Linked DNA regions of Oreochromis niloticus. The protein of the gene in region 2 purifies or fractionates together with the protein of the main gene of each other region. This does not show direct contact. Links are inferred from orthologs where the notes say so. Each region holds a gene or a part of one and is shown on either strand. Other genes may lie near its edges. The genes, in order: vbp1, mapk7, pfdn2 and pfdn1.

Region 1 (7,421 bases), on a different chromosome or scaffold from region 2:
AGCGCCACTGGTCTCTTAACCTCTAACTGTCATCCTATAAGGAACCTTGGTGTGATATTTGACATTTCTATTACCTCTCGTCTAGACTGTTGTAATTCTTATATGTTGGCTCTGATCAAACAAGCTGTACAAAATGCAGCAGCTCACTTTGACCGGAAAGAAACCATGCGATCGCATTACACCTGTACTGGCCGCCTTACACCGGCTTCCAGCCGACTTCAGTATTCAGTTGTTTTAAGAGGCTCAATGGATACAGAACTTTTAGCTGCCCATCATTTTTAAGACACTTTTAAAAACCTATTTGTTCTCACTTGCTTTTGGGTCTAGTTGAGCAGAGTACCCTGGCTTTTATAATGCAAACGGAGTCCAATTTACTTGTTTTATATGTTTTTGTGTATATATATTGTTGATTTTGCGACTGTTGTGTACAGTGTATATTTTGTATAACTTTTACAGCACTTTGGTCAACTGAGGTTGTTTAAAATGTGCTACAGAAATAACCTTTGACCTGACAGGCATCCCTGTAAATGAATTCAAACCAATATTTGTTTGATTCACTTAACATCAAATCAAATTACAACAGGCTCAACACACAATTACACTGGTGTCACACAATGGTAACATTTTAAAGTTGGTTCACAACAACCGTACGCACCTTCTTCTTCTGCATGTGTCGTAGGATTTCTAGCGTTTGTCTGATTTGAGGGATCTGGTTTTTCAACCTGCGAGCAAAGAGATGTGATTTGGATGTTATTATGAAACGTGTGTGTGTGTCCTTATTCGTCTAAATTCTGCTGATGCCCTTCTTTAAACAGCTCACTAAATGTCTTTAATATCTGTCCAAATCTTTGATTATCACTCAGAAATGATGTCCACCAGCTGATGGTGTCCCATATTAACACCAAACTCTAATGACCTGTCAAATCTCTGTCTAAGCCCATAACAACAAGGTTAAGTGTTCCTTCACTGGTGTCACCTGAGTTTCTTCTGAGACAGGTTGAGCTCCATGTATTTATATTTCTGGTACTGTTCGTCCAGCCTCCTCAGCACCGCGTCCGCCGTCTCATTGCCGGGCTGCTTCATAAAAGAGTCGACATCCTCCTGAAAATCCAGGCAAGAGAGAAAGAATGAACCAAGATTAACTAACAATGAACTAAACAATAACAATAAACCAGAAAGCAAACAGTTGAGCTGGTTTAGGCATCAGATTGGGATGCCTCATGAGCGAGGTGATTTGGGCACCAGGACACACTGGAGAGATTATGTACTACCTCAATCCCAAAGCAGTTGGGATGAGGGCAACAAAAGTGGTACTAAGGAAGGAAGGAAGGAGGAATGTTTTATAACTAATTAGGTTAACTGGCAACAGGTCAGTCACAAGATTGGGTATAAAAAGAGCATGTTAGAGAGGCAGATTTCCTCAGGGTTAAATACAGGCAGAGGCTCAACAGTCTACAAATTGCGGAATCATTTCAGAATAAATTTTTCTAATGGCATCTTCATGCCATGTTTTCAGTAAGTTAATGTTAAGAAACTTATGAAGTCAACTCTTCTGTAACAAAAAACATTGTACGTTATGGAATAGCTGGTGATTTGGACGTCAATGAGGACAAATAAAAGGCAACTCTAAATAAAGAACAACATTAGAACTTTGCACTCAAACTGCCTGCTGAAGATGCAGGAATTAGTTTTACACCAAATTACTTCATTACACTGTCAAGATGTTTAATAATCAGGCCCCATGTATCTTAAAGACCTCATAGTACCATGTCTTTCAAATTAATGGCCTCTTAGACTCTTACTGGTCAGAAACACTTCATTTCTTGACAAGGCTTTTATTGTGAAAGATCTGTTGGGACTTGCAACAGCTCAAACTGTTTCCACCATAAAAATCTGAAACAAACACATGATAAAATCACATTTATAATATCTGTGAATCTGATGTTCAGCTTTTGATAGCCGGTTAGAAATGTACATGTGCTCATCACAGGTGAGTGAGGGATAGAGGGAGCAGAAACGGGGAGATTACACATCCAGGAAGCAAAGCTGTGTGAGGAAGACATGGTGGCTGACAGGTGGAGATGGAGACTGTACATTAAACTGCACTGTGCTCTGACATGCACATGCATGTAGGTACATGTGTGACTGATACTTTACCAGACGACTACACCTCAACCTGTAATCGACTGACCAGGTCTGGTTGTAATTGGCCTGTATTTGCTCAGCAAAGGCCAAAGAACATACATGAGTGAGGATTTGCAGTGAAATAAGTGATGAATTACTGAAAACTAATTGCCTAAGATGCTTTTAAGTAAATGAAGATCAACATTTTCCAGTTTTGGTGGAGTTTTGAACTGCTGACCTGATGAAACAAACACACTGAGGACACGGCAGTGGGCTCTGTGATATAATGCACACTCTAAAGGAGAAAAATAACCTGCAGATCACGTGACACTTAACTTTGTGCTGTATTTGCAGCTGTCAGGAGACAGGACACCTGAGAGCAGTAGCTCATATATGTTGGGACGTATTCACTATACACGTTAAATCTAAATGTGCTCATCTTACTGCCTGATTGTGCACGGAGGAGGCTAATGTCACCAAAGCAGCCTCCAGTTAGACTGATGTGTGGCTGGATGAACTGACCTAAAGCCTAAAGAGGAAACGAGGCAGAGTGACAATAATGCAGTGATGTCCATAGATGGAAACGAGCTGCCGCCCAGCCTGCACACACAGCAGGCTTGTCTGTTAGCTTAGCTGTTAGCCAGCATGCTGCACCCGCACACCGGAAGCTACAGCTACAAGTGTGTCTTCAGCGGAGTAATAACAAGTCAAACCAGCGACACAGCGACAAATGTCCGGGTTTACCCACCACAAAAACCGCTTCTGGGATCCCGAGGTGCTTTCTCTTTGTCGCCCCTACGGCATTGCTGTTGTCTATGATCGCTGCCATCTTGGAGAGAGGATACTCCTTCCTTCCTGACGTACGAGCATGCGTACAAGCGTCTTAAGCGGGGAAACAAGACTCTGCTGCTTCTAGTGGTCACAGGCTGCAACTGGAGTAACACAAAAGGCTCAACGAGTCTTTTTTGAATCAAGAACCTTTTAATGTCACACATAATAATGAAACATTATTAATGATTTATAATAGTGTTAGTAACATGATTACAGCATTCAAGGCACATATAAATCCAGCCACCTAAACAAAACATAATTACAGTACTGTGAAAAAAGTGTAGTCATCCCTCATTCCTCTGTATATTACTTCCAAGGAACGAGACTTTTTTGTAATTTTTAAAGTGCTCTTGAGCAGTAGTTTTCCCGGCTTTCTGAGTTTTTCTCAGGAGATCAGCTGCTTTTTCATTTATTTTCAGTCCAGCCTTTCTACCTGACCATTGATAAGCCACATAACACTGCTATGAATTATTCAAGCATAAAAAGGCTCAAGGAAAGAATCAATTTGTGGCTGTACATAACATACTTTTTAAAATCTTGTCTTTAGGCACTTGAAAAATGTTAGTGATCACACAGTTTAAGAGGGATAAGATGACTTCCAAAGAGCTGTTAGCCAAAAACCTGCCACATCCCAGCATGATGTGCAGGGCGTCCTTAAAAATAGAAACTGGACAAGTGGAGGACAAAAGAACAAGTGACAGGCTTAAAAAATGAAAAGGTCAAAGGATGCCAAATTACACAAGAACTGGACTGAAAATCAGTAACAAATGTGTCGTATGGAGTGATGAATCAAAACTTGAATTCTTTTTGGTTTAAATCGTCATCAGTATGTAAGGAAACTTGGGTTTGTCATGGTTTGGGGCAACATTTCAGCCAATGTTGTTTGGGGATTTTGTCAACACTGAGGGAATTATGGACACCGAAAAGTACTGTCAGGGAATATCATCTGGAAGTCATGTTTTTAATAAATCTCCACACCTATCTGCGTTTTCTCAAGTAAAATATAAAAAGCAAACAGAAAAGTGAAGAGTAGATTAACTCGAGAGCTCACGCAATATAAATTCAATATACAGTAAAACAAAGAATTAAAATGGAAAGGATAAGAAGAACTCGATTAGCATTTATCACCAATAATTTAAGAAAAAAATCTATTAATATGCAAGCTTAAACAGAAATGGGTCCTAGTAAAACACACAGATGCATTTTATATTACAGTTTTTCAGTCAATTCAAAACATCTCAAATAAAGTGGTTTAAATTTAAATTCTAACTTTTTGAGAGACAAAGAAAAAGTCATTATGGTCAAGAAAGGTCAAGGAAGATATCTTCCCATTTGTTTTGTTTCTCATGATGCAAACCACATGGAAATATAACTTTGTTACCTTGAAAATCACATCCCTTTACCTCAATTCAAAGCAGATGCTAAATTTCATATTTGACTGTGATATATTTCTCTGCTGGCACCAACTGAACATGTCTTCTTTGTAAATTCATCACAGAATTAAGTCATCAACCCCATTAAAGTTTGCACTCATAGAGATGATGTTTGTTTAACAACTAAATGTACCACAACAGAAACAAGCAAACACACAGATACCATCTGAAAAGTGAAGATTAAATCAATCAAATCATTTTTACAGGCTGTAAGCCGCCTTCATCCAGCTATTGAAACAAACAGTGTGAACTATGGAGTACACGTCTCTTGTTTTTTGATGTCTTTCTTTTCTGGAAGTTTCCACCAGCTCACTTTTAGGTCGCCAGTCGTATCTCCCAGCTCATTTTTGACCTGCGCAACAGAAAAGAGAATTTAATGATTACACCTCAAATTATAGACTATTGTTGTTACATTTTAACATTTTACACAAGGAAATGCAAAGAAAGTGTTTTTTGGGGGGGAATATTCATCACCTAAGACTGTCTTAAAAACATCTGGTATGTTTTTCATTAAAAATTATAAGTATAGACACTTTAATAAGATTTTGTAGCACAAGTTACCAAATTCACGACGGACTCCATCACAGCCGGGTCTTTCATGTCCACGGAGGAGTCGACAGCTGCCAGATTCACTTTCACCAAGAACTTCCTCCAACTTCCTCCTGTATTACCGGATGTCACATCTCCTGAGACGACATCTGGCCTCACCCATGGGGACATCCAATCACATTGTTATCATCTAATCACCTGATGTCCACCTACACCTTATCACCCTCTCTCTGTCTGTCTGACTTTTCCCGCACACACAATTTAAAACAAAGTTTAAACTTTAAAATGACATTTTCTTCTTTTCTGTGTTATTCATAAACATTGAAAAATTCACCACATTTGAGCATTTAGTGAAAAATGGATATAATTTACTTCAAGTTTCATTCATTTTATACAATTTCTACTTCAGTTAGATTCCATCAGCATCCATTCTCACATGAGCATTAATTTGAGCGCAATTTATTTTTAATTTAAACACATGGGAACACTTTCTTTTCTTTTTCTCTTTTAAGATCTTTGTCTGTCAATAACAATTTACTCAATACAATTTATTTTATTAAATCACACATTTTGTAAGTCAGACATTCTGCGAGATCAGTGGCTCCCGTGTGTCACTCTGTCACTCCCATCCTGCAGCACCCCCACATTCACACTCACCGAGGTCAAACTCTCAGTGTGAGGCCTGTCTTTAAAATCATTATCATACTTTATATTTTCTTATTTTTTATATTGCTTAAACTTAAACATACTTGTTTTTAATATACCTGATTATATTCTGATCAGTATTGATTCAAATTATGTTTCTTTGCTCAACCATTACAAGACTTGGTACCATTACTCTCATTCAAAATCATGTATAACGATGGGCTGCCGATGCATTTCTTATCTTTTCCAAATTCCCGAGACACTAATATCCCAAGGTCAAAGCTGGATCGTGTCTACACACACAACATTCAGATATTAGAAGAGTCATTTTCACTACTAAAACTATATTTCTCATTTTAATATGCTAATCAGACCTATACTTCAACTATATCTCTGATTAAAATGAAAGATGATCTACTGTAAGAAAATAGGGAAAAGCTCTGTTTTAGCACTCTGATCTTTTTTAACACATAAGGCTGGATGTTAAGACCTTTTACCCCCTCTCAGATATCACCACGGGGGGACTTCAATCTCTTTCTCTCTCTGCCTCACCTTTTTCGACAGAGCTTGTAAGATGATAAACTCCTCTTTAATTTTAGTTAATATCTGTAAAGATTCCCATCATCTTCATCATCATCATCACCAACATCTTGGCCACTTCATGTTCTGACAGCGATCATTATAAATGTGGCTGCCTCAGCCTCAACACTGGCATCCAGTCATTTTAAAATGACAGCGTGTGCATTTTCTTGTTCTGTATATTTGGTTGCACTATTATAGTTTATTGTGATATAACTGCACCTAATTTCAGTGACTCAACTACTTTTCACAGAAGACAGATCGCCATGTTTTTGATTTGGCACAAATTAAAAGCCGGATGCTGTTCCTCATACAAGCCATTTCTCTGGACTTTGTGCGTCTTCTCGGTCTCAAATACAAACCATTTACTTTCTGTTTGTACCCGTTTGCATTTGGAGACTGTATGAGTAGTTGTAAAGATATGTTTTAAAGATATGTATTTGACATGTTGTGGATGACCAAAAATGTTTTTCACCTGAACAGATGACACCAGCGTCCTCAGAATGGTCACAGTCAATTCCTCCAAATCCACTGCTTGGACAGTCAGTTAGAAAGTTTTCATTTCCTGTGCATGACACTTCTTCAAGCCATATCTGTCCAGTTCCTGCACCAAAGTAAGCTGATTGAGGAGCCTGTAGTGCCGGTCCACAGTTTAACTCTTTGCAAACCACATCAGCATCATTTAAGTCCCAGTCTTCATCACAGACTGTTCCCCAGATGTTATTGTGGTAAATTTCAACTCTGCCAGAGCACTGTGTTGATCCAGACCCGGCCAGTCTGATGGCTGAAAACAAAACACAGAGGTCATAGCAGAATTATAAAAATGGAAAAAAGAATAAATAAAATAAAAAAAGGGTAAAAAAAAAAAAAAGAAGAAGTAAAAATGGAAATTAACTGATTTTTAAAAATACAGAAATTTTCACAAGTTGAAGATGTGTACTGTTTTAGTTGGATTTTTATATGTAATTCTAACTGCAAAATCTTGCACAACTCAAATTACACAATTTTAAAAGTGTGACATTTTTAAAAGTACAACAGTTTACCCATAATTTTGATAGCAATTTGTTTAATGTGCATATTTTATATGTACATTTAGATCTTGTATGTCGAACACATCTTTACTCTTGAAGTGATAAAACTTAAAATTCTCCAGAAAATTGTTATTGCGCACACTATAAACTGTGTCAAGTACAAATTAAGCATTCAGATGTGATTTCTTGTTAAATCATGTCTGTTTAATGAATAAAAAAACATTGAAAC
Region 2 (7,577 bases):
AATATGCGCTGGTGGCACTTTAACTTTGTTTTTTTTCTATTGTTGACTGTACTATTTGTATTCTTTATCCGACTTTAACACAATTGGTGGATCAGTAAAATATCTATCTATCTATCTATCTGGTACTGTAGTACCAATTTAGTGTTCAAGTAGTACAAAATAACAAACCAGCAAAAACAAGAAAGCACCCACAAATATTTCAGAAAATGTAGTGTTTTGTCTGTTTTTTTTTTCATTTCAAATATTGTATAACAATGTCAAATATTGTATTTTTTCTCACTCGTAACTAACTGAAGCCTTTTACTGAACTACCAAGTAGGGCTGTTCGATATAACGATATATATCGGATGACGATATAAAAACATCTATCGTTTCATTTTACGCTATCGTTTGTTTCGTGGTGTTGCAAAATAAACTATTTACGGCAATATTTTTTTATCGTTTTGATGGTCACTGTAGTGGCTATATTAATTTCTTAAAGTTCTCTCTTTCTCTTATATTTAATATAACCACATTACTGACGGACAAGCGCCCGTTTTTATGCGTTGTCGTTAGCAACAACGACGGTAAAACCATCGCATGTCCGCTTGTTTATTTTCCACATAAACCTTTCACAATAAAGCTCAAGATCCTGTTGAGACTTTTCAAAATAAACTGAATCATGTGAAAGAGTATGCAGAGTATTTACGGATGAGAAGCAAAAAAGAGCCGTCAGGTGCTAAAAAATAAACCTGGACTCAAATGTTAGAACAGGCTTTTCCCCGCAGCACAATGTGTAACAAATACTCACAAAGAAAACGGCGGCCGTTACAACTTATGTCTAAAAATGTATCGTTTAATGCATCGGTTAAAACACTCGACTCCAGGTACACGACCCCCAGCTGGAAACACTTCACGCAAGTCGAGCTGCCCGAGATTCACAGAATTTACAGAAAATGTTACATTTTTGTGATGTATGTTGTTATCGGGACGATAGATGTCTTATATCGGGATATGAGATTTTGGTCATATCGCACAGCCCTACTACTAAGTGTACCAAGTGTGACTGCTAGTGAAAATTGTTTTCTTTACAAATAACTCTCACCGAACTAACACAGCCAATCCCTCCCTGCACTCATATTTTCTTCATATTAAATATTTTTTTGCTTTTTGAAGAACTTATTTTTAACATTCCACTCGACAACACACAAATCCTTCCTAACAAAAAAAGTAACTTCAAGGGCCAAATTGCATTATATTTCTTCACGTCAAAATACAAGTAGGGGTGATGTGGCCCCCGGGCCACGAGTTTGAGACCCCTGGTCTAGACTGTCCTGTATTTCTAAACAAGAAAGTTTCTATTACTTCACAGAAAATGTCACTGTTGTAAAACAGAGCTTTCTATAGCTGATATTGAAAGAACAAACTTTTATTTCAATTTATTTATTATTTATTACTTAATTATTTTGGGGCTAGTATGAGTGGTCATGGGAGAGTCAACAAGAAAAAGCTGTAACATTTATTAAAATAAATGTAAACATACAAAATTTATGCTCTCCTTAACATTTTCGATTAAAGTCTCTGCTAGGCCGATTCTAGCCCCCGGGCCTTATGTTTGACCCACATGTGTTATGCTGGAATCTGTAGCAGCAACACTATGTACTCCATAAGACCAGTGCCATCCAGCGGCAGCATTTCTGTCACTATTAAAATCAGTTTTACTGAAAACTCAAATTATGCCCATATAAAAGCTTTTCTGTTAACACTTGGGCGCATGGAAGCCATCCCAGGAGTGCCTCCGTTAATGTGGGTACTGAGGAATAACAGAGACTGAACCACCACATGCGAAAGTTTTGCTCAATTGAGATTTAGGAGAAAAACTTAAATAAAAAGAAACTACTGCTTCTGACAAATAAAAACACACTTTTAAACGCTGATAAACTGTGTGAGAGTGACCTGCTAGGGCTCAAACTAGGTGTGATTAGTAACTCCACACCCGCTAGGCCTGGCAGTGAAAGTGGCCAAAACCAAACCTGTAGCTCTCTACTAACGTCTCCACAATAAAGCTGGAGTCTTCATGCGAGTAGCTAAAGGCCAAACCCAGCAGAGGCTGTCTGTAAGAACACACTAATTTGTGTACTACATAGTTATAAACTAACCGCACGACAAGGACTACTCGCAGGGGCGTAGGCTAATAACGTTACCTGAAGCTGGAGCACTCTAGACACAGAAATCGTTAAACGGCATTTTTGTCGATTATATAACAAAACGGAAAAACACTGACACGTGTTTTCTGTTAAAGGAATGTGCGCTCACCTTGTGAGTCACCCACAACACCAGCATTGATGTTTTAACCCCGTAGTAGCGCGACCATCTTTTGTTTTTGTCTGCCGCTTCCTCGTATAGTTCCGCGTAGGGTTTGAGTGCCATGATGCGGACCAACCACATGCGCTGACGTCAAGTAGTTTGTCCAATGGGAACAGAGGACGCGTTGGGAGGCGGCACATTGCTGGACAGTCTCCGCTTTTTCAATTTATTTATCTTTGTGGGGTTTTTTTTTTTCTGTTTCTGTTCTTTCTGTTTTCCCCACAGTTCAATTACTTTAGGAGGAGTCAGATTTAGGGAAAGATACCTGCTCCTGTTGGTGCTTTACACTAACTTTATATATAATATAATAATAATATATATCCAACTAAGCCCGAAGCCTGCGATTATCTGATCAGTCAGATAACAAATGCTAAAGCTGGAGAATATACTAACTACTAATCATAGAAAATTATATTATTAAAATCTTCCAAACTATCCTCATAGTATAATTCACAGCTTACTAAGCACGTTGTGTTACTTTATTTAAAGGATTAAGCAGTCGTTACCTCTAGTTGAGCTCAATTTTAATGACGCATTTCCGAGTGGATATGTTAAGAAAAAATTCAGACACTTTTGGTTAAGTAAAAACAAACAAACAAACAAACTCCTTCAGGTATAGTAGTTTAGCAGTGGAATCTTCCAGTGGCGTGAGATGAACAGCAAGGGCGGTTATTAACATTCCCCAAAGCCCAAACAGACTGAAGTCCACAGAAAAATACAGTGCAAACACCCATCTGCCAACATCTGGACTCCACCGTCCAATGAAAAGCAGTCGCAAAACTCGCACAGACCAATCAAAAGCGACAATCTGAGCACGAACACGTCGTCTTGACTAGGAGGACGGTGACGTTTGAAAGAAAACCAGACTGGACCGTGCAGTTTCAACACATTGGTGCAATAAATTCATCTTTTAGTGTCCACATGGGTGCCATTCAGGGGTTCCCCAAATGGGAGCGAAAGGTACGCATGTTTTTGTGCCTTTTCGGTTTGGTTTTGTCTATTTATGCCCTTCACGTCGAGGTATCCCGGGAGAGAAACCCAGATTACAGAGCGCTGTGCGACCTGGGGGAGTCTGTAAGCTGCTCCAGAGTTTTTACCTCAAGGTATGATATGACTCCTGCCTTTCGTTTTTCCTCATAACTGCGCTTTTTGTGCAGAATCAGCTTACCTGGATCTGTTTTCAGGTGACCACTGATCCATATCTGATCCTAACCTTGTCTTCCAGCTGATACTTTAACATATTTTTTTCTAGCCTTTCTAACCTACACTGAATTGCCACGTGTTCTTAATTTATCTGAAAATACTTTACATCAAGTAGCTTCCTGTTTCACATTGTGAGAATACAAGGTATATACGTTTATTTTGACATTTCTTGTCATTTTTAAGAGAATCAATCTTTATTACACGCTTGATGTTCTACACTTAAGAAATGATTCTTTGCCCTCATAAACATGAAGCAGTGATTTTGAGTAAAATGCAGCGGTAATGTATAATATCAACGGTTTATTTATTAAATTAAATAATCATTAAGGAAAATATGTTGATTATAAACTCTGTATACCATTCAAGTAAATTTCATTTGCTTAAATCTAACATTTAACATTGTACTTATGTAACAAAATTTGATAGAACATTTACATGTAATGAAGTTACTGAAAGTAAGCATTTTGGCCATAGATACTTTCTGTGTACATTTAAATGGTTATATCACATTGCATATCTCTGTAAGGCTGATTATATTTCATAGGAATAAAAAAATAAAAAAATAAAAAAATTGTTCATTTTATTTTGAAGAAATTGCTGCTCTGACTGTTACTTCTTTCTTTCTGGCAGATGGGGACGTGGTTTTGGTTTGGTCCAGTACTTTGTGGCCAAAGATAGTCCTCTAAACCAGCCCAACAGTGTTCTTGGCATCATATTTTACACTCTGCAGATGGGCCTTGGTTAGTCTCTGATTGCCTTCTGTAAATTACAGTGCAATGCTGAGAGCTTTTTATTTAGAATATCATTTGCAATCCAATGTGTTTGTGATCCATGGCAAGCACAAGTATTTCAGGTATTTGAGGATTGCATAATATGTATATGGAGCAATACATTTACTCCACTCTGGACGTGAGACTGTGTGAAATTTCCCAATAATGTACTATGTTTGACTGAGGTCCTGATATCCTCTCTATTTGACTTTTTTCTTTACAGGACTGTCTGTGTCTAAAAAAGCAGCAGCTTTTTTGGTCTTCTCCTCCTGGGTTTCTGTGGCCGGTTCACTCTATCTTGCATCTATTCTCGCATTTGTTCTGGGAGACTTCTGCATGGTCTGTGTCTCCACGTATATTGTCAACTTTGCATTGCTCTACACCAACCTGAAACGGAAGAGAGCAGTTCAGGAAATTAAGGAAAAAGCCAGATAGAAAGTGTTGCCTGTGAAATGTAACAAATCCCTTCCTGCCATCCTGAAACCCTGCTGGATTCATCTCACAGTATTTTGCCAGTGTTTACATGAGTTTACATTCAGTATTTTCACAGAAAAATAACTGGAGATTTGACTCAGAATATCTATAAGTTGGTTCTCAATACAGAAACTTTGTTGTGCAGCAGCTACTTTTGTATATTTTTATTAACTGGTAATGATTAAAACACATTTTTGAATTCTGACTTAATTCTGTGTGATTGTTGTGATTTAATTCTGGGCTGTTATATGGTCAAATGTGTTAAAAGTGGCTATACCTTTCTCTACAGTACATTTACTCAGTCCTACCAGCAGATGGAGATAAATGTCTATTTAATAGCAGTTCAAACAAACTTTATTGGAACGACTGTTCAAGTTGCCCGTCTCCCCCAAAAAGTCACCAGACCTACAAAGAGAAAAAAAAGATGATAAAAAATAAACAAATATATCTAATACAGTGTGCTTCATTACAATATGTACAGTTTTTAACTAATTTATTAGACCACATGTCATAAAAAAACAGAACAAGCAGTGGCAGCTCATTAGCTCAGCTTCAAAGTAAAAATCTGATTATTAAAATAAAATTTATTTCAACTGTGGGTCAAAAGAACAAAGTCAAAAACAGTTAATATGGTAAAATGTGAAAAACTGCCAGTAATTGTATTGTTATTTAATGGTGCAAACACCTCAGTTTCTTACATTTAATGTTTTGTCTGTTTCTTACTTACCAAAGAACTGATGAAAATAATAATGGGCAAAGCGAGGCGACAAGTTTGAACCGTTTGTGCAGGAATTGTATCGAGGCTTCGAAACAATCTGAACCAATCTCCACAGTGACATCTGCTGGCCAATTTGACTATCGCCACATCTTTTTAATGCTGCTCTGTGAAACAAATGAGGCAGACAAGCCCTGCAATTCCAACCAAAACGACTTATTATAACAGACTGTCAGTAATGGTGATGAGCACATCTTTTGAAGAAATCCAAATCCAACCCAGGCAAGAAAAATATTGAGACTGCTAAAGACAGCAGGCTGTAATCGTGATACACAGCGTACCTCAACAAAATTATACATGCGTGTTGCTCACAGTAACTCAATTTATAAAGTAAAACACAGAGAGTAAAGACTGTTGTGTTTAATTTAATAACTGCACAGGTTTCCATCTGTTTTTGGCCTCATTCGGAGTTGTTTTTTTACTCACAGCCCTCAAAGTCTGGTGGTTTATTTATAAGTTTTCTAAGAGTTCGTGTCATCAGGTTTGTTCTAAACAACCTCAATCAAAGCTAGAAGCTTGCATAATTAGCTTTTATTTTTAATTAATTTTAATAAAAAAAAAAACAAAACACCCAGCACGCCCCTGCGGGCGGTTTATCCTTCAAGCTCGGGTCCTCTACCAGAGGCCTGGGAGCTTGAGGGTCCTGCGCAGTATCTTAGCTGTTCCCAGGACTGCGCTCTTCTGGACAGAGATCTCCGATGTTGTTCCCGGGATCTGCTGGAGCCACTCGCCTAGCTTGGGAGTCACCGCACCTAGTGCTCCGATTACCACGGGGACCACCGTTACCTTCACCCTCCACATCCTCTCGAGCTCTTCTCTGAGCCCTTGGTATTTCTCCAGCTTCTCGTGTTCCTTCTTCCTGATATTGCTGTCATTCGGAACCGCTACATCGATCACTACAGCCGTCTTCTTCTGTTTGTCTACCACCACTATGTCCGGTTGGTTAGCCACCATATATATATATATATATGTATATATATTTAAATCAAAAGACTAAATGTGTTTTCCTTCTTTATAAAAAGTTAATATCACATTTTCATTGGCTAATTTTGACCAATCGTCCATCGTGCCATTTCACACAGATCTTTAAATCATCCTCTGCTGAGCAACCTTTGAACCATGAAGAAACATTCCTTAACTTCATACTGCTCTGGATGCTGTATCTTGTAACACCGGCATGATGTATGAGTGAGGATGAAGTCACTTAATGCAGCAAATAACCTTTTCTGTGGAAAGTGGAAAAAAATACAGAACAGACTGAGTCACTAAGACACTAAGACATATTATTCAATTAGTTGGTAAATCAGAAGTATCGGAAGTCTATAACTACTGTAATGCCACGTGTTTGTGTCTTTTTATTAAGTAATCAGCCACTAAGTAGGCTTTCATGCACTGAAAAACTCAGTTTGTTTCTGTTTGACATTTTAATTTGTCACATTCGCTTCTTTTTAGTTTGGCTTTGATTGATTTGTATTGGATTCTTCTGTTGAATTCTTTGCTTAGGATTTTTAAAGTATTCAATGCCATAAATGTGTCAGCCATAGGTTTAGCAATTCTTTGACATTGTGGCAAATTCGGTATTTGGTGGTGGCGGTGGTGGTGGTGGTGGGGGGGAGTAGAGCCAGAATGGCAGAATGACAGACTAGCACTAAGTTCACATAATAAATAAATAAATAAATAATAAGGAAGAGAGACTAATTGGCTTGCTGAAGGTGGGCAAGAAGATAATGGAATCAGAGTGATGATGACAGAATTAAGTGGAAGTGACAGAAAGTATAGAACATGTAAAGTGTAAACACTCTGGAATCCAGGCAGACACGAGAGCACAGACTTCTTGAACTTACTGTGAGCCAGAGCTTTCATATCTAAACAAAGTCCGAAAACAGTGACCCTGCAGCTCTGCATGGTTTTGGATACTTTGAACACAGACCCTGTAGCATAACCAATCAAAAGTAAAAGAAAATAAAAATCTAACAAATACAATCATTTTATGTTTTAGATTTAATTTT
Region 3 (6,824 bases), on a different chromosome or scaffold from region 2:
CGGGAATTGTAATTAACCACAGTAGTGACAATAATGGATACAGGCTAATGATGGTGGTTGAGTTTAATGATGTTAAATATATTTTGATTTGTGTTTATAATAATAATAAAAATAATGGATTGGATTTATATAGCGCTTTTCAAGGCACCCAAAGCGCTTTACAATGCCATTATTCATTCACGCTCACATTCACACACTGGTGGAGGCAAGCTATGGTTGTAGCCACAGCTGCCCTGGGGCAGACTGACAGAGGCGAGGCTGCCATATCGCGCCATCGGCCCCTCTGGGCAACACCAGTAGGCGGTTTATGGTTATAACAAAAGAGCACAGATCAAACAACTTTACTCTTCCTTGAATAAGATGTTGGAGGAATGGAAAGTGACCTATAATACTCCAACACTGAGAAAGTCATAGTTGGAGGAGACTTTAATTTGGTCCCTGACGTCTATATGGATCGCCCTCCTCCAAGAAGAAATAGCCACTATTATGAGGAGATTGTAGCTGAATTTATTACTAAAGGAAATCTAATTGATTTTTGGAGAATGAGAAATCCCAATGTCAAACAATTCACATGGTACAATTGGGCTAATAATGGTCAATGTTCAAGGTTAGACTTTGGTTAATGTCTACTAACCTGATAAATAAGGTCCCTAAATGTGAAATATCAGCATCACCCCTGACTGACCACTGTGCTATTTCAATGTCTTTTCAACCAGGTGGGGTTAAGCATATCCCTAACTATTTATGGAAGTTTAATTTTGCAATGAAACAAAAAAACTTGTTAAACGAAATTAATCTACTGGAAATGTCACCCTTGAGTAAATGGGAATGGTTTAAAATTTAAAATCAAAGAGGTTGCCATAATAATAAGTAAAGGCATCTCAAAAGTTAAAAAAAAGAAACAACATGATATTATTAATCATATGAACAGATTACGTCAAAAAGAAGACCCATCTGTAGAAGAACAAATCAAACTAAATAATCTTCAAAATCAGTTGGATAGTTTATATCTGGAAAGAGCAAAAGGAGCATTTATACGCTCAAGAGCTCGTTGGCTTGAGGAAGGTGAAAAAATACTTCTTATTTCTTTGGCCTGGAAAATCAAAGACAAACAAAAAAGAAAATCAATAAACTACTTGTTAATAATCTTAGGAATGATAGCCAAGAACAAATAAATGAGGAAATAGAACATTTCTATAAGAAATTATATAAATCTAACTTTTCACTCGATGATTGTCAAACATTTTTTGAAATAATTAGGCCAAGTAGTACAATAATTGATGAGTCTTTTAGGCAACACTTAGAATAGATAGATAAACTTAGAATTGCAGAGCTAGATAAAGCAATTGGGCATATGTCAAAAGGAAAGTCACCAGAACTGGATGGGTTAACAGTGGAATTTTATATTCATTTTTGGAATGATATCAGGGTACTGCCTTGTAATGCCTTTTTGAATGTACTTCATCTGGTCATCTCTGTCGTCTACCATGAAAAGGGGTGTCATCACATTAATTCCAAAACCCAGTAAGGACAAACTATTGCTGGATAACTGGGGACCAATTACTTTATTATGCAATGAATACAAGTTGCTAGCTCATATTTACTCCAATAGATTGGATTTGGGGCTATCCAAAATAGTGGATGAGTGCCAGTCAGCCTTTGTGAAGGGTAGAAACATACATAACCACACTAGACTGATTCTTGGCCTGCTAGACTACAGAGAATTTATCACAACAGTGTTGTTTCTGGACTTCTTCAAGGCTTTTGACACAATCGAGCATTCCTTTTTGTTAAAAGCTTTAGAATTTTTGGGCTTTGGAAGTAAATTTTGCAACATGGTTGAAATGCTTACACTGACATCAGTAGCACGGTCTCCTTGAATCCAGGAGTCATTCCTGGATTCAAGGCGCAACGAGGAATCTGACAAGGATGCCATATTTCCCCAAAGCTTTTTATATTGGCAACTCAATTCTTAACACTATTAATCAAAAATTCTAACAACATACAAGGAATATCAATTTTTAACAAAGAGTTCAAAGTCAGTTTGCAGATGATACATCTATCTTTTTGAAAGATAAATCAATGGTAGATAAAACTTCAAGTACTATCTCAATCTTCTCTAAAGCTTCCGGTTTATCTCTTAATATCAAAAAATGTGAACTACTTCCGATTCATACAAACGTGTACTGTTGTACTGTTCCAAATTTTCATTTGTATTATTACCTGTGTTATCCTCTTTGAGAGTTTGTATTTTACATTGCTCAAATACAAAAAAGAAATCTAGGTAGCTAGTGACCAGCTGTTTGCCACACACAACCTTTTGCAGCTGGCAGGTGGTGGGCAGCCCTCTTCCAAAAAAGCAAAGAGAACATATTTAGAAAACAACAAGGGGAATAACTGAGTGTACACTTAGGGATCACTTTTGAATACATAAACTTATTCCTGGGGTTTTAATTAGTGCTGTTTTTCCAGAGCCATTCACATAGATCAGACAGCCCCCCCCCCCCCCCCCCCCCACACACACACACACAACATGTGTCTTTTGTTATTACTGTGTATTGTTGTAAACACTGACTGTATAAAATATGAATGTTCATTTTCTGTATTGGAAAACCGAAGCCAAAGTGTCTTAAACCTGCATTCTGTCTAAAGACCACCAGATGCTAATTGCTGTAGTTTCAAAAACACTTCAGGTCCTATAAATGTCTATGGAAAAGCCTCTGTAAAAAACTTTCCTGCTGAGTTTATAGTCTTAGTCACTCATAAATAATATGAAAAACTCTAATGTTAAGGCATTAAAATGGGATTTCATAAAGGAATGAATTCGCCATAGAGTGTAAATAGACAGATTCTTTATTGATCACGCAAGGGAAATTGCCGTCTTGCAGCAACACCACCCTCTACAGGAAAGGGCAGAGCAGGCTGTACCTGCTGCGGAGACTCAGGTCGTTTGGAGTGGAGGGCCCACTCCTGAAGACCTTCTATGACTCTGTGGTGGCCTCAGCCATCTTCTATGGTGTGGTCTGCTGGGGTGGCAGCATCTCTGCTGGGGACAGGAAGAGACTGAACAGGCTGATCAGAAGGGCCAGCTCTGTTCTAGGATGCCCTCTGGACCCAGTGGAGGTGGTGAGTGACAGGAGAATGGTGGCTAAGCTGTCATCCCTGTTGGACAACATCTCCCACCCCATGCAGGAGACTGTGACAGCACTGAGCAGCTCCTTCAGTGGGAGACTGCGGCACCCACGGTGTGGGACGGAGACATTTCGCAGGTCTTTCCTCCCCACTGCTGTCAGACTCCACAACAAAGACTTCAACTGATCAAACACACACATCCACACATGTGCAATAACACTAATGTGCAATAATCTTTTCTGGCATCGTTGTATTTTTACTCAATTGTATATAGCATTTGTATTCTATTCTTATCTTATTGTATATTTTATTCTATTTTATTCTACTGTATATAGTATTTTATTTTATTCTATTCTGTACAGTTGTGTACTGTATTTATTCTTATTTTATTTTATTCTAATTTTTCCTTCATAACTTTTGCACTGTCCACTTCCTGCTGTGACAAAACAAATTTCCCACGTGTGGGACTAATAAAGGTTATCTTATTCTTATTCTTATAAGAAGTAAAAATAAAAATTGTATAATCCACAATAAAAACAACATAGGCAGTGTAACAATGTAATTTGAGGTCCATACAGTAATTGGTCCATACTGAAGGCCTAGTAATGTGAAGTAGTCAAAAATTTCACATACTACAGTGATTAAAAGAAAATAATACCATAATGAAAAGTCACACTTTATTTTATTCATTTCTATACAGGCAATCGCGTAAACCAGCCCTGTACGTCTTTCCTGGGTCCCTCGCAGCAACACCCTTCCAAGATGGCAGCCAACAGTAGCAGCACGGGTAGCAAATCCAGCAACAGCAGCGGTGGGAAACAGTCCGGCCCGTCAGCTGAACAGGTACCCTCCCCTCCACCTCAGGCTGCTTCACCGGTGCAATCGTTGATATTGTTGTCGTTGGGCCTTGTGCGGTGGAGTTACAGCCACCAGTTTGAGTCCCGGATAGCTAAAGCTAACGTTAGCTTCCCATCGCAGTGAGCCAGGTGTCCGGCCATCAGTCTGCTCTCTAACAAGCAGCTGGTGTTAAACATGAAGATTTAAGCGTTCATATAATGAGCTGGGGTCAGGTGTGCGCTTCTAGAGAGCGGTTTATGGCTGTTAGACGTATTTAAATGTGCGCATGTGTGTAACGAGATGGTGTAGCTGTGTGAATAGAAGATGCTATTTTTATAACTGAAGACCACCCAGCCCGACTCAATCAACGTGAAGCCACATTACTCAGATATTCATAAAGTATCTGTAATGATGAACTGAGTTTGCCGTAAAAGTCCTGCAGTGTAGCTGCTCTCAACAAAAGTATGTGGAAAGCGATTAATGTGATCAATGCAATGGTTTCATGTGGTGCTCCTGCAGGCTGTCCATCATGGATCAGTTTGCGTTTGTTGGTGTCAGCTGCCCTCTGCTGTCCCAGCGCAGCACAGAACAGCATAGAGTACGGCAGTGACCATCACAGACTCATGCTGAGCGGATATTAAAATACCTCAGTCATCTCAGAAAATAGTGATGGCTGTGTATGTTCTTGTAGAGAACTTATGTGTTTTTAGTGAAGTCTGGTTAATTGTTAATGTGAACATTCCTTGACAGTTTCCACTGGTAGAAACAGGGCTCACTGATTTTGATCACCAGGAGGCGTTTAAGTTACTTGAAATTAAAATGCCATTATTTTTATGATATAGCCAAAAAAATTACTGAAAATGTGTGAATTTCTGAGTGTGGTGAGGTTACATAGACTTTTACACCTTAACTATGTGTGGATCAGACATGCTTACATGTCCGGTCATCTCCAAGAAACGTGAATATAAAAATAACATACCATATGCAATAGCTCTGCTGGTCCATGATGGTGCTCACTCTGGTTTTGTGTGGCAGGTGGTGGCAACATTTCAGAGGATGCGTCAGGAACAGCGCAGTATGGCTTCTAAAGCTGCAGAGTTGGAGATGGACATCAACGAGCACAGGTTGGTACAAACCTTCTGATCCGCTCTAAACAGTTTACATTTACAAAGAAGTTTCATGCGGCAGTTCAAGAAAGAGAGAACTGAACATGATTTATTGATACACAGAATTCAGTTATGCTATTTGGCGACTCCGATGCTACGACAGCAGAATGAAATCCTAGTGGCGATAGACGTTATCTAGGCGTCAAGGGTCATGCCTTGACTCTAGGTCCTCATCAAATTCTAGCTCAGGTTCTAGCTCAAGTGCCCCTCCAGCTCATAGAGGATCTCAGAGCAGAAGTCCAAGATGGTGGAGTTTAATCCATCTGACCATGGCTTGCAACACACACTGGGAAGCAGCTAAATTATTTTATGGTTTTACTGCGTGCCTTCTCAAATGTTGGCCCAAATGTGTGCGCGCACACGTGTACACAGAAAAAGCGGACAGATGATAGAAAAACACACACAGCAAGTGTTTATTTCTCACTTCCAGTATTAGGAAACATTTGCATGTTTGCAAACAGTACTGATTGCAAACACTTCATTGGCACAACCGGAACAGGTAGCTGGTTTGCAGCAGTTACTTTGGTAACTGAGTTTAAGTAACTGATCTTAAAACGTTTAAATATAAAAGTAAATAAATGCTTAAATGAGGTGTCAGAAATACTTGTATGGGTATTAATATACTTGGTGGAAGACCTGATGGCTGAGTAGTTATTCCTGTTATACTTCTTTTAAGTTCACCTCCCAGAGTGGATGTGTGGTCAGTGCATGGTGAAATAAAGTCTCCGTGGATAAGTCCTTGTAGACACATGGACCCTCACACTCACTGTCTGATGATGAAATTTATGATCCTAGTGGACTTGTGGATGTGGAGGTTAATTGAGACTTATGGCCTGACGTTATAAGCATCTAAATACGTAATAAGCTCCAGGGCAGACCAGGTGGTGCATGTGAATGTAACACTGAATGCATGTCCTTAGCCGCAAATATTTCACAATCTGGGGAATCACAATGTCAGCTACCAGCTGAGGCATTCCTGTGATACCTTTTGAGTTGAATACGTTTTCTTTTTAACATTTCTGTTTTCCATTCAGCTTAGTAATAGACACATTGAAGGAGGTGGATCCATCGAGGAAATGCTTTCGTCTAATAGGAGGAGTGTTGGTGGAGAGGACAGTAAAAGAAGTTCTACCTGCCTTGGAAAACAACAAAGAACAGGTGATGGAAGAGGAAATGATAGCATATTACAGTTTTCACACTGTGCTCTGCTGTTTAATAGCTTCATATATTGTACACAGACTCTTATTTCGCTCACGATTTAATTTTCTTCCTCCTCCTATCTTCACAGATCTCCAAAATAATCGAGTCCATCAACTCACAGATGCAGACGAAGGGGCGGGAGCTCACAGAGTACAGGGAACGCTACAACATACGTTTGGTGGGAGAGGGCGAAGGAGAGGAAAAGGGCCAGTCAGCCGCTCCCTCCAGGGACAGCGAAGGAGGCGGATCCAAAAGCGGAGCCGGTGTTTTAGTTTCATAGGTAGTGAGCATGGACAGTGACAGCAGGGCCCTTTGATTTCTGCAGTGCTGAACACGTAGATGGAGTCACACAGTTTAGGTGGAAAACAAACTCTTTGCAGGATAACTCTGGATTTGAAGTTTACTGAAATCTCTGCTTAATCTAACGCACTTGTTAATTTGCAGCAGGTATATTCTGCTTCCTTATGTTCAGTGTGAAAGTTAAAGCTG
Region 4 (7,416 bases), on a different chromosome or scaffold from region 2:
TAAATAGTTGTTGTTTTTTGTTTGTTTTTTTAACAAACAGAAATGACAAGTAGTAAGACAACACAATAAATAATACTATAACTAGAGTGCAACAACCTGTGTACCAGTATGGAGTATGGGTATAGAGTGTGGGTATAAATATGGGTATAAATTAATACTTTAGCAGCAAAGGGCATGATGACCAGCACTGATAAAGTGACAGTGTCAATAAGTGTTAAGTAGTGGTTAAGGTGCTACAATAACAGTTCTTGTCCATTATGCATTAAGAAGTCTCACAGCTTCTGGAATGAAGCTGTTTCTCAGTCTGGTGGTTTTGCATTTTTGCTCCTCAGCCTCCTGCCTGAGGGGCGTGGGACAAAGAGTGGGTATGCTGGGTGAGTGGGGTCCTTCATGATACAGGTGGCCCTCTTCCTGCATCCGGAGGTGTATATGTCTGTGACAGTTGGGAGGCTGCCTCCGACAACTCTCTGTGCAGCCTTCACCACCCTCTGTAGAGCTTTCCTCTCTGCCACAATGCAGTTTCCGTGCTTCCGAGGCGGCCTCCTCTGCTCCTTCACCTCCATGTTCATCAAGTCTGCTCCATACTGCTCCATACACCGCTCTCTCCCACTTCATCCAGCTTACACCACAGTTCCTGTCTCTCCTCTGACCTTTGACCCGTGGGGGTCTGACTCTGACTCATGATGCTGTCTCACGCCCAGTTTGAGTCCTCCTGGCCTCGCTTCCTTTCCTCCTGCTCTCTCACCTCCTCCTCCTTCTCCTCATTAGCAGCTCTCTCTCTTTAAAATCACACCTCCTACATTTAAGGCTCCTCTCTCACCTCCTGTTCCGTGGCTTCAGTGTCAAGTAGCAGTAGAGGGATTTCAGACGATGATAAAATGGATATATATTGGACAAAAGTTGGAAAGAGTAGGAAGGTAGGGCTGAGGAAGGACAAGTTGAAATTCACTCTAACAGGGAAGCGGGTACTTGAAGAGGAAGATGTGAGACGAGCAGGGGCGGATCTAGAAGGGTGGCATGGGGTGGCAAGTGCCACCCTAAAATGATCCCTTGCCACCCCAAGTGCCACCCCAGTTTTGCATATGACAGTGTTGTTTATTAAAATAAGATAGCATTAACAGTTTGAGCGTAGTTACAGTCAACAGTGAATGTAAATGCTAAAACTGAATATACTGCATAGTGTCCCCCCCCTCCACCATTAACAAATGGTTCAGCCCATAGCAGGAGCGGCGTTTTTCTTGTTGTCAGCAGCAAGCGATGCTTATGATTGTGCCAGAGCACATTTTGAACAACACCATGGGAATTTCGGATTTTACACAGGTGGTTGGATGTTACACTCTGGAAATGGAAGGAAGGTGAGTGTTATTAACCCTCTGTGGTCCACGGACACGCTGCACCTCCAAATCACATGACTGATGTAAGCTGACACAGCAACAAGCTGCAGCCACGCTGAGTCTCTATTTCAACCCACATTGAAAGTTCGGACTTCAAAGTTTTAAAATTTTAATTACAGGCCAGTAAATCCAGAGTTATGATAATATATATAAGCCACGCTTTTTTCTAAATACTGTCGTCACGTTTTTGTGTGTGTGTGTTTTAAGCGTTTTCTAAGGAAAGCGCGAAAACAGTAAAGAAAGGAAAGAAAGCCACCTCTTTCCTATCGGTGGAAAAATGCACCATGTCGACCAATTTAAAAAAAGTCAACACGTGGGATTTGGTTGTTTAGGAAGAGGGGAGAGTTTTGGGAGTGACGGTAACGGCAGCGAGACAGAGCGAGCGAGTGAGAGAGAGAGAGCGAGAGAGTTTTTAGATGTGGGAGATTTGTGATGTTTAGTGTGGAGTGTATAGTTAGTGTGTTGTGTTGTCTTGTGTAGTTGTTCTGTTGTGTAGTCGTTGTTTTGTTTTGTGTGTCAGTGAGGGCACTAATGAAGGTCACAAAGGCACATTTGCAACGTAAACACTGTCACTAAGTAGAAAACCAGCGGAGTGATACACCTGCTGTTGTCAGGTCTGCAGGTTTATCCCTGTGCTGTTCTCCTCTGTCTTTTGGTGGAAAAACTTTCTTTTACTGGCACACATCATTTGTGGGGAATCTTATTGCGAAACCTGATTGTTCTTGAGGCTTGAGCACCTGCCCCTTTCCTGATGGGTGCCCAAAGTGCCCTTTTGTTGAGGCAATTTTTTTTTTAATTTTTAATTTATTTTTTTTTAAATGTGTGTGTGCGTGCAGAGTCCTGTCTGTGCCCCTCAACAATAATATTTAACTATTAATCACAGTTTTGCTAAATAAAAGGATCTGGCTTGCATCAGTCACATGATCACCATTAACCAATGATCGCCCTTGACGGCAGAACGCGCTGGAACGAGCTCATAAAGAGCACGCGCATTTTTGCGGTCCGGAGCTGTAGGAGAAACACAAATTACCTCAGACACACAGACTGAGGCGACAAAACCAGTAAGTAGGTGAACAGCGCACACTGTAGTCTACAGCACACAGGAGTGTTAGCTTATTACGTACACGTTGGTAAGCTGTCTTGGGACAACTGACGAACTGAAACAAATGAGCGTGCTGTGTGTGCAACAGCGCGACAAACATTACCTGTCCTTTTATTAACTGCACAAGTAGTGCTGGTCATAGCTGCTGGCTCACTGGGTAAGGCTGTCATGGGTCTGTAGCTCTGTCACCGTGTTAGGGAACATATTTAGTTTTAAAGTAAGTTACAGGGCTTTTCCTGCCTTTCTGGAGGGATTATATTTCACTTAAAACGATCTAATATGCATGTCCACATAATAATGGATTATTATAATTATAATATTTTAAAAAACACGCTGTATTTTAAAGAACATACATTAAGAAACAGATTATATTAGATTTATATTTTAAATAAGACAAAATGCTGATTTTACAGCAGCAAAATTATTGTATCTCTACAGTTTAAAAATGTAATAAGCTTTCTGCCTGCACAGAGTGGAAAGTGAAACAAATTGAATCATCATAAATACATTATTTCATATGTATTACTCTTTTTCCCTCATTGCTTTATTATTGTAGCTCTAGTAATAAATAATAAAGGAAGGATTCTGGATCAACACCATGATGGAAACTTGTGCCCACAGTATATACAGTATTCTGAAGAAGGTCTAAAATGTCACTGTGTGTGCATGCATGTGTGTGTTTTATGTATATGGATTTTTGAATTATTACTCATAATATAACATTGTCCAGACATGGCTGGTAAGGACATGAGGAGGAAACAGTAGGAGCTGTGTGAGGCCACTAAAGGCAGTGGATCCCTCAGCAGCTGGATTACAAAGAGCACAGGTAACATTAACACATGTACCAGTTGTTGGAGAGGTATCCCAGTATAAAAATAATAATAAGCACAACTGAAATGTTTTGCTTCTATAACATTTTTCTGTCATCATTTTATTATAGATTAAGTGTAAGAGTTGTTAAGTGTGGATAATTAAATAATAGTTTATTGCAATAGCAAGTTATGCCTTGTTCTCAGATGGACAGCAAATGGAGAGTGATAGATGAGATGAGGGGATGGAAGGAGGGAGAGAGGCAAAGAGTGATTCACAGGCAGGGTCTAGTTTATTTCTCAGTTTTTTGTTGCCTTATGGTTCCAAGCGCTGTCACCAATCTTTGCATTTTGTTATTATCTCATGACACTTGTTTAATCAGCTACCATCTCTCCTATGGACTTTTTAATGTCTACAGTCTCAGATCAACACAGCCCTGCCCTCCAGCACTATCAGCAGCAGGAGCAGCAGCAACCCCTCAACAGCAACATTGTACCCATCAGGTAAAACATAGGCTACGTTTGCTTTGCCTCACAACAGTGATATAGTATGATGCGATCCCATATTAGATTCTTGATGAATGTGTGTTGTTGTTATTCAGCCTGGTTCAATGTGCCCCTTTTTAGCTTTGAGCACCCGCCCCTATAAACGTCTCTGCACGGCCCTGACACAGTGACTCCACTATATAAACACTTCATTGTGAGTATGCATCGTATATATGAGTATATATGATTACACACAGTTTATGAAAGTAACTATGATTACATGTCTAGTGTATATAAGTATATATGTCATAATAAAATCCACAATAGTTTGGAAAAGGTGCAGCGAGAAGAAGTCATGTAGATATGAATATAAAATAGAGTAAAGGTGTCAGCCACAGTGGGACAGAGAGGGTAGTTTTATTATAGTACACAGGGCAGAGGGACACTGTGGGAGAAGGTCTAGAAGAAGGTGTAATGTGAAGAGTAAGATTTGGTCACACAGTTTAAATAACAGTGTCAAACAGACGAATAAGCACGAGACAGGAAGTGTGAATGTCGTGCAGGAGGCATCTGAAAAGTGTAAATAAAGGCGGGAAACATGGAAAATACACATCACAGAGGAGGACACGTGATGGAGTTCACAGGGCGGACACTCCAGTCCAGCAGGTGGCGGTAATGCACCTGACGCTGTTTGCTACCGCCATAAAAAGATAGAAGAAAAAGGCGGCTCTCGCGCGTGCGCAGTGTGTCCTCAGAGTCGGGAGCAGAAAGAAGATGGCGGCGCCCGTAGATCTGGAGCTGAAAAAGGTAGGAGCTCCTCACCTGTGTGTGTGGCACGTGCTTTGTGCCTGTGACTAACGCGGCTGTTTCACACGTGGTCGAGTGTTTTTTCCACAGTCTCCGGTTTAAACTGCCCACGACCTCCGTCTGTGTCTGTGCCGGCGGGACACCGACACCGTCACGCTCGTGACTTTAACACACCTGCGCCCAGGCCTTGTGTCGTCACCGTGACGTAGTTAGAGCCCCTAACGTCAAAGTGACGCAGCGGAATCGTTTGCGAGTGGGTTGTGGGTGTAAGGTGTGATATCATGAAGTAGAGCTAAAAATGATACGGTTTCGGGGGGGGGGGCGGGTAGTTCAGAGTGGGCAGGCTCTGTTACCATGGTGACTAACCGTCAGGTGCGCTCCGCAGGCTTTCTCCGAGCTGCAGGTGAAGATGATCGACACGCAGCAGAAAGTCAAGATGGCCGATCTGCAGATAGATCAGCTGACACGCGTTCAGAAGCACGCCAAGCTGACGCACGCGGAGATAGCCACGCTGCCCGACAACACGCGGCTCTACGAGGGTGTGGGACGCATGTGAGTCACCTACTTTTAACCTTAACAGACCTGAACGTCACGCAGGTGTCAGCCAATCACATCGGTTCAATCATGATGTGTTTCAGGTTCATCCTGCAGTCCAAGGAGGAGATCAACAACCTGCTGACAGACAAACAGAAGACTGCTGACGAGAAGATCAAAGAGCTGGAGGTGCACGCGCACATGCCTCTTCTCATTGGCTAACTGCTGATTGACATCACGCGTGTGGGCATGTTCTGCATGGGGTTAGAGAAACCTTCTGGAGGAAACCTGAACTGTGTCCAAATTCATGGGCTGCATCCTCCTGAGGACCCAGCCTTCGTGGTCTACGTGGGCCGGGTCCTCAGAAGGTCGGGTAGGCCGGAAGTAAACAGCTGTGAAACTGGACGGTCTAGCTTTCAGATTTGTGTCACCGCTGTGTGGGTGGAGTTTAATAAACTCGGCCGTCTGCTCCTTGCAATCTAAAATATAACAGGACGCTGGCGTAAATTCTCGACCATCTCACACTTCTGTTTAATCAGTTTTCTGTTTGACGTTTATTCAGCTGTGTAAAAACCACCCGGGGGATTAATAAAGTTTTATTTTATCTAATCTAATAACTTTAATCTCAGCCAAACCGATTTACTCACGAACAAATAAAACACTGAAAAAATGACAAACAATAACATTTTTAGGTTGTCTAAGTGACTTATATATTACGTTTAACCTGAGTAGCGAAAGTCCGCAGTGATCTGAAAATGATGTGCCGGGAGTTGTGCCGTTCTCGGCGGCTTCAGTGACCCTCGAGCTCTCGGCTAGCTATCGAGCTGGTGGGTAACAGATGTCTCCGAAAATGTCAGCGCACTTTTAGAAATATGTGATATCTTGATAAACCAAGCAGATATTCGAAGTTTACACAGCTACATTCTCGCCTGAAAATATGTTAAAAGTTTATTTTGTGACCCAGAAAGATTAATAAGAGTAATATTAAAACTTAGTAGCGGCCGCCATTGTTGGAAACTGGAGTTTGGCTGAGCCGCGCTATGAATTCTGGGATATGGTGGGCCACGAAGGACACACCCGACCCATCCTTCAAATTCGGGGAAAAGGAGGACGCATTTGTCGGCTGCATTCGGAGGAGTCGACGAATTTGGACAGCCTTCGGCGCGTCGCTGTGATGTAATCGGCCTACAAATGCGTCCTCAGGAGGATGCAGCCCATGAATTTGGACACAGCTCTGGTCTTGTTAGGAGAGACGGCATCCATCCCACTTTGGATGGAGTAGCTCTCAAAATGTGACTATTCAGAGTTGGGACCAGGAAGCAGAGTTGCAGTCTTACACGTCTCTCTGCAGCTTCTCTCCTCCTGTTATCTCCCAAAACCCCATCTCCATAGAGACTGTGTCAGCTAGAGTCTTTAAAATATGAAACACGTTGATGTAACTATTGTTGTGCTTTATACAAAAAAATGGTTGAATTATCCTGCAGTCTGATTTCAGGAGGTTGAAACAGTGTTGGTGTGTGACACACACACACAGCTAAGCACTCACAGTATGTTTGTGTTTGTGATTTCCAGCAGAGGAAGGTGTACCTTGAACGCAGCGTGAAGGAAGCTGAGGACAACATCAGAGAGATGCTGCTGTCCCGGAGAGCCCACTGACTATCATCATCATCACACACACTATAATTACACTGTAATACACACACACACACACACACACAGTTTCCTGTGTGAGTTTTTCACAATAAAAGCTTGAAGACACTGCCTGGTGGTGGCTTTTTTCAGTCTGAGATTTACTTTGAATTTGTTGATGATGACGACCCTCTTCTCAGTCTGTGTGATCTGATGAATTAAACCAGCAGACGATCATGTGACTGTATGGAATTACGTTTGCCCAAAGGAGGCGGGGTCATAATGTGATTGGTCACTTTGAATCCTTTAAAACAGAAGGATTCAAAGAGCTGATCTGAGGTCTGTGCCCTGAGGTTGATCAAGAAGCATGCATCAGGGTCCAGCAATTATAACTTACTACAGACATTTAAAGCTGCACGTGTAATTGCACCATGAGTGGATGCAGCGCTAAGAACAGGCCCTATATTTCTCTGGTTTTACGATGTCCTCAGTGTTGAGGTGATAAATCAGCACATAACTGAGCAGCAGCAGAAATAACAGCTGCAGGTAAACGGTGACCTGATTCATTTGGTCAGAGATTCATCCAAATAGGAAAAATCCTCTAAACCCTGAACGTCAGAGGTCAAAGGTCCGATAAGCTGCCGGTGTAACATGA

The links.
Region 1: the proteins of mapk7 (region 2) and vbp1 purify together in Homo sapiens (affinity purification with mass spectrometry; 3 studies listed by BioGRID and IntAct, with this or other methods). This does not show direct contact. The link is inferred for Oreochromis niloticus from reciprocal best matches to the Homo sapiens genes MAPK7 and VBP1.
Region 3: the proteins of mapk7 (region 2) and pfdn2 purify together in Homo sapiens (affinity purification with mass spectrometry; 3 studies listed by BioGRID and IntAct, with this or other methods). This does not show direct contact. The link is inferred for Oreochromis niloticus from reciprocal best matches to the Homo sapiens genes MAPK7 and PFDN2.
Region 4: the proteins of mapk7 (region 2) and pfdn1 purify together in Homo sapiens (affinity purification with mass spectrometry; 3 studies listed by BioGRID and IntAct, with this or other methods). This does not show direct contact. The link is inferred for Oreochromis niloticus from reciprocal best matches to the Homo sapiens genes MAPK7 and PFDN1.

Annotation. Positions count from the first base shown.
Region 1 is NC_031967.2:30,265,313-30,272,733, reverse strand, and holds the start of vbp1 (prefoldin subunit 3), read right to left. Parts: upstream 3,017-7,421; 5' UTR 2,954-3,016; coding exon 2,873-2,953; intron 1,102-2,872; coding exon 977-1,101; intron 723-976; coding exon 656-722; intron 1-655. Other genes in the region: putative DMBT1-like protein, read right to left, coding at 4,639-4,740, 4,950-5,086, 6,637-6,945, 7,205-7,208. UniProt on the Homo sapiens protein: Binds specifically to cytosolic chaperonin (c-CPN) and transfers target proteins to it. Binds to nascent polypeptide chain and promotes folding in an environment in which there are many competing pathways for nonnative proteins.
Region 2 is NC_031973.2:17,618,404-17,625,980, reverse strand, and holds the start of mapk7 (mitogen-activated protein kinase 7), read right to left. Parts: upstream 3,014-7,577; 5' UTR 2,853-3,013; intron 2,428-2,852; exon of another isoform or gene 2,296-2,427; intron 1-2,295. Other genes in the region: vkorc1 (vitamin K epoxide reductase complex subunit 1), read left to right, coding at 3,268-3,449, 4,180-4,289, 4,543-4,754. UniProt on the Homo sapiens protein: Plays a role in various cellular processes such as proliferation, differentiation and cell survival. The upstream activator of MAPK7 is the MAPK kinase MAP2K5.
Region 3 is NC_031967.2:23,683,132-23,689,955, forward strand, and holds the start of pfdn2 (prefoldin subunit 2), read left to right. Parts: upstream 1-3,819; 5' UTR 3,820-3,894; coding exon 3,895-3,975; intron 3,976-5,004; coding exon 5,005-5,093; intron 5,094-6,169; coding exon 6,170-6,293; intron 6,294-6,423; coding exon 6,424-6,615; 3' UTR 6,616-6,824. UniProt on the Homo sapiens protein: Binds specifically to cytosolic chaperonin (c-CPN) and transfers target proteins to it. Binds to nascent polypeptide chain and promotes folding in an environment in which there are many competing pathways for nonnative proteins.
Region 4 is NC_031975.2:33,670,500-33,677,915, forward strand, and holds pfdn1 (prefoldin subunit 1), read left to right. Parts: upstream 1-4,441; 5' UTR 4,442-4,565; coding exon 4,566-4,598; intron 4,599-4,983; coding exon 4,984-5,150; intron 5,151-5,236; coding exon 5,237-5,321; intron 5,322-6,704; coding exon 6,705-6,788; 3' UTR 6,789-6,893; downstream 6,894-7,416. UniProt on the Homo sapiens protein: Binds specifically to cytosolic chaperonin (c-CPN) and transfers target proteins to it. Binds to nascent polypeptide chain and promotes folding in an environment in which there are many competing pathways for nonnative proteins.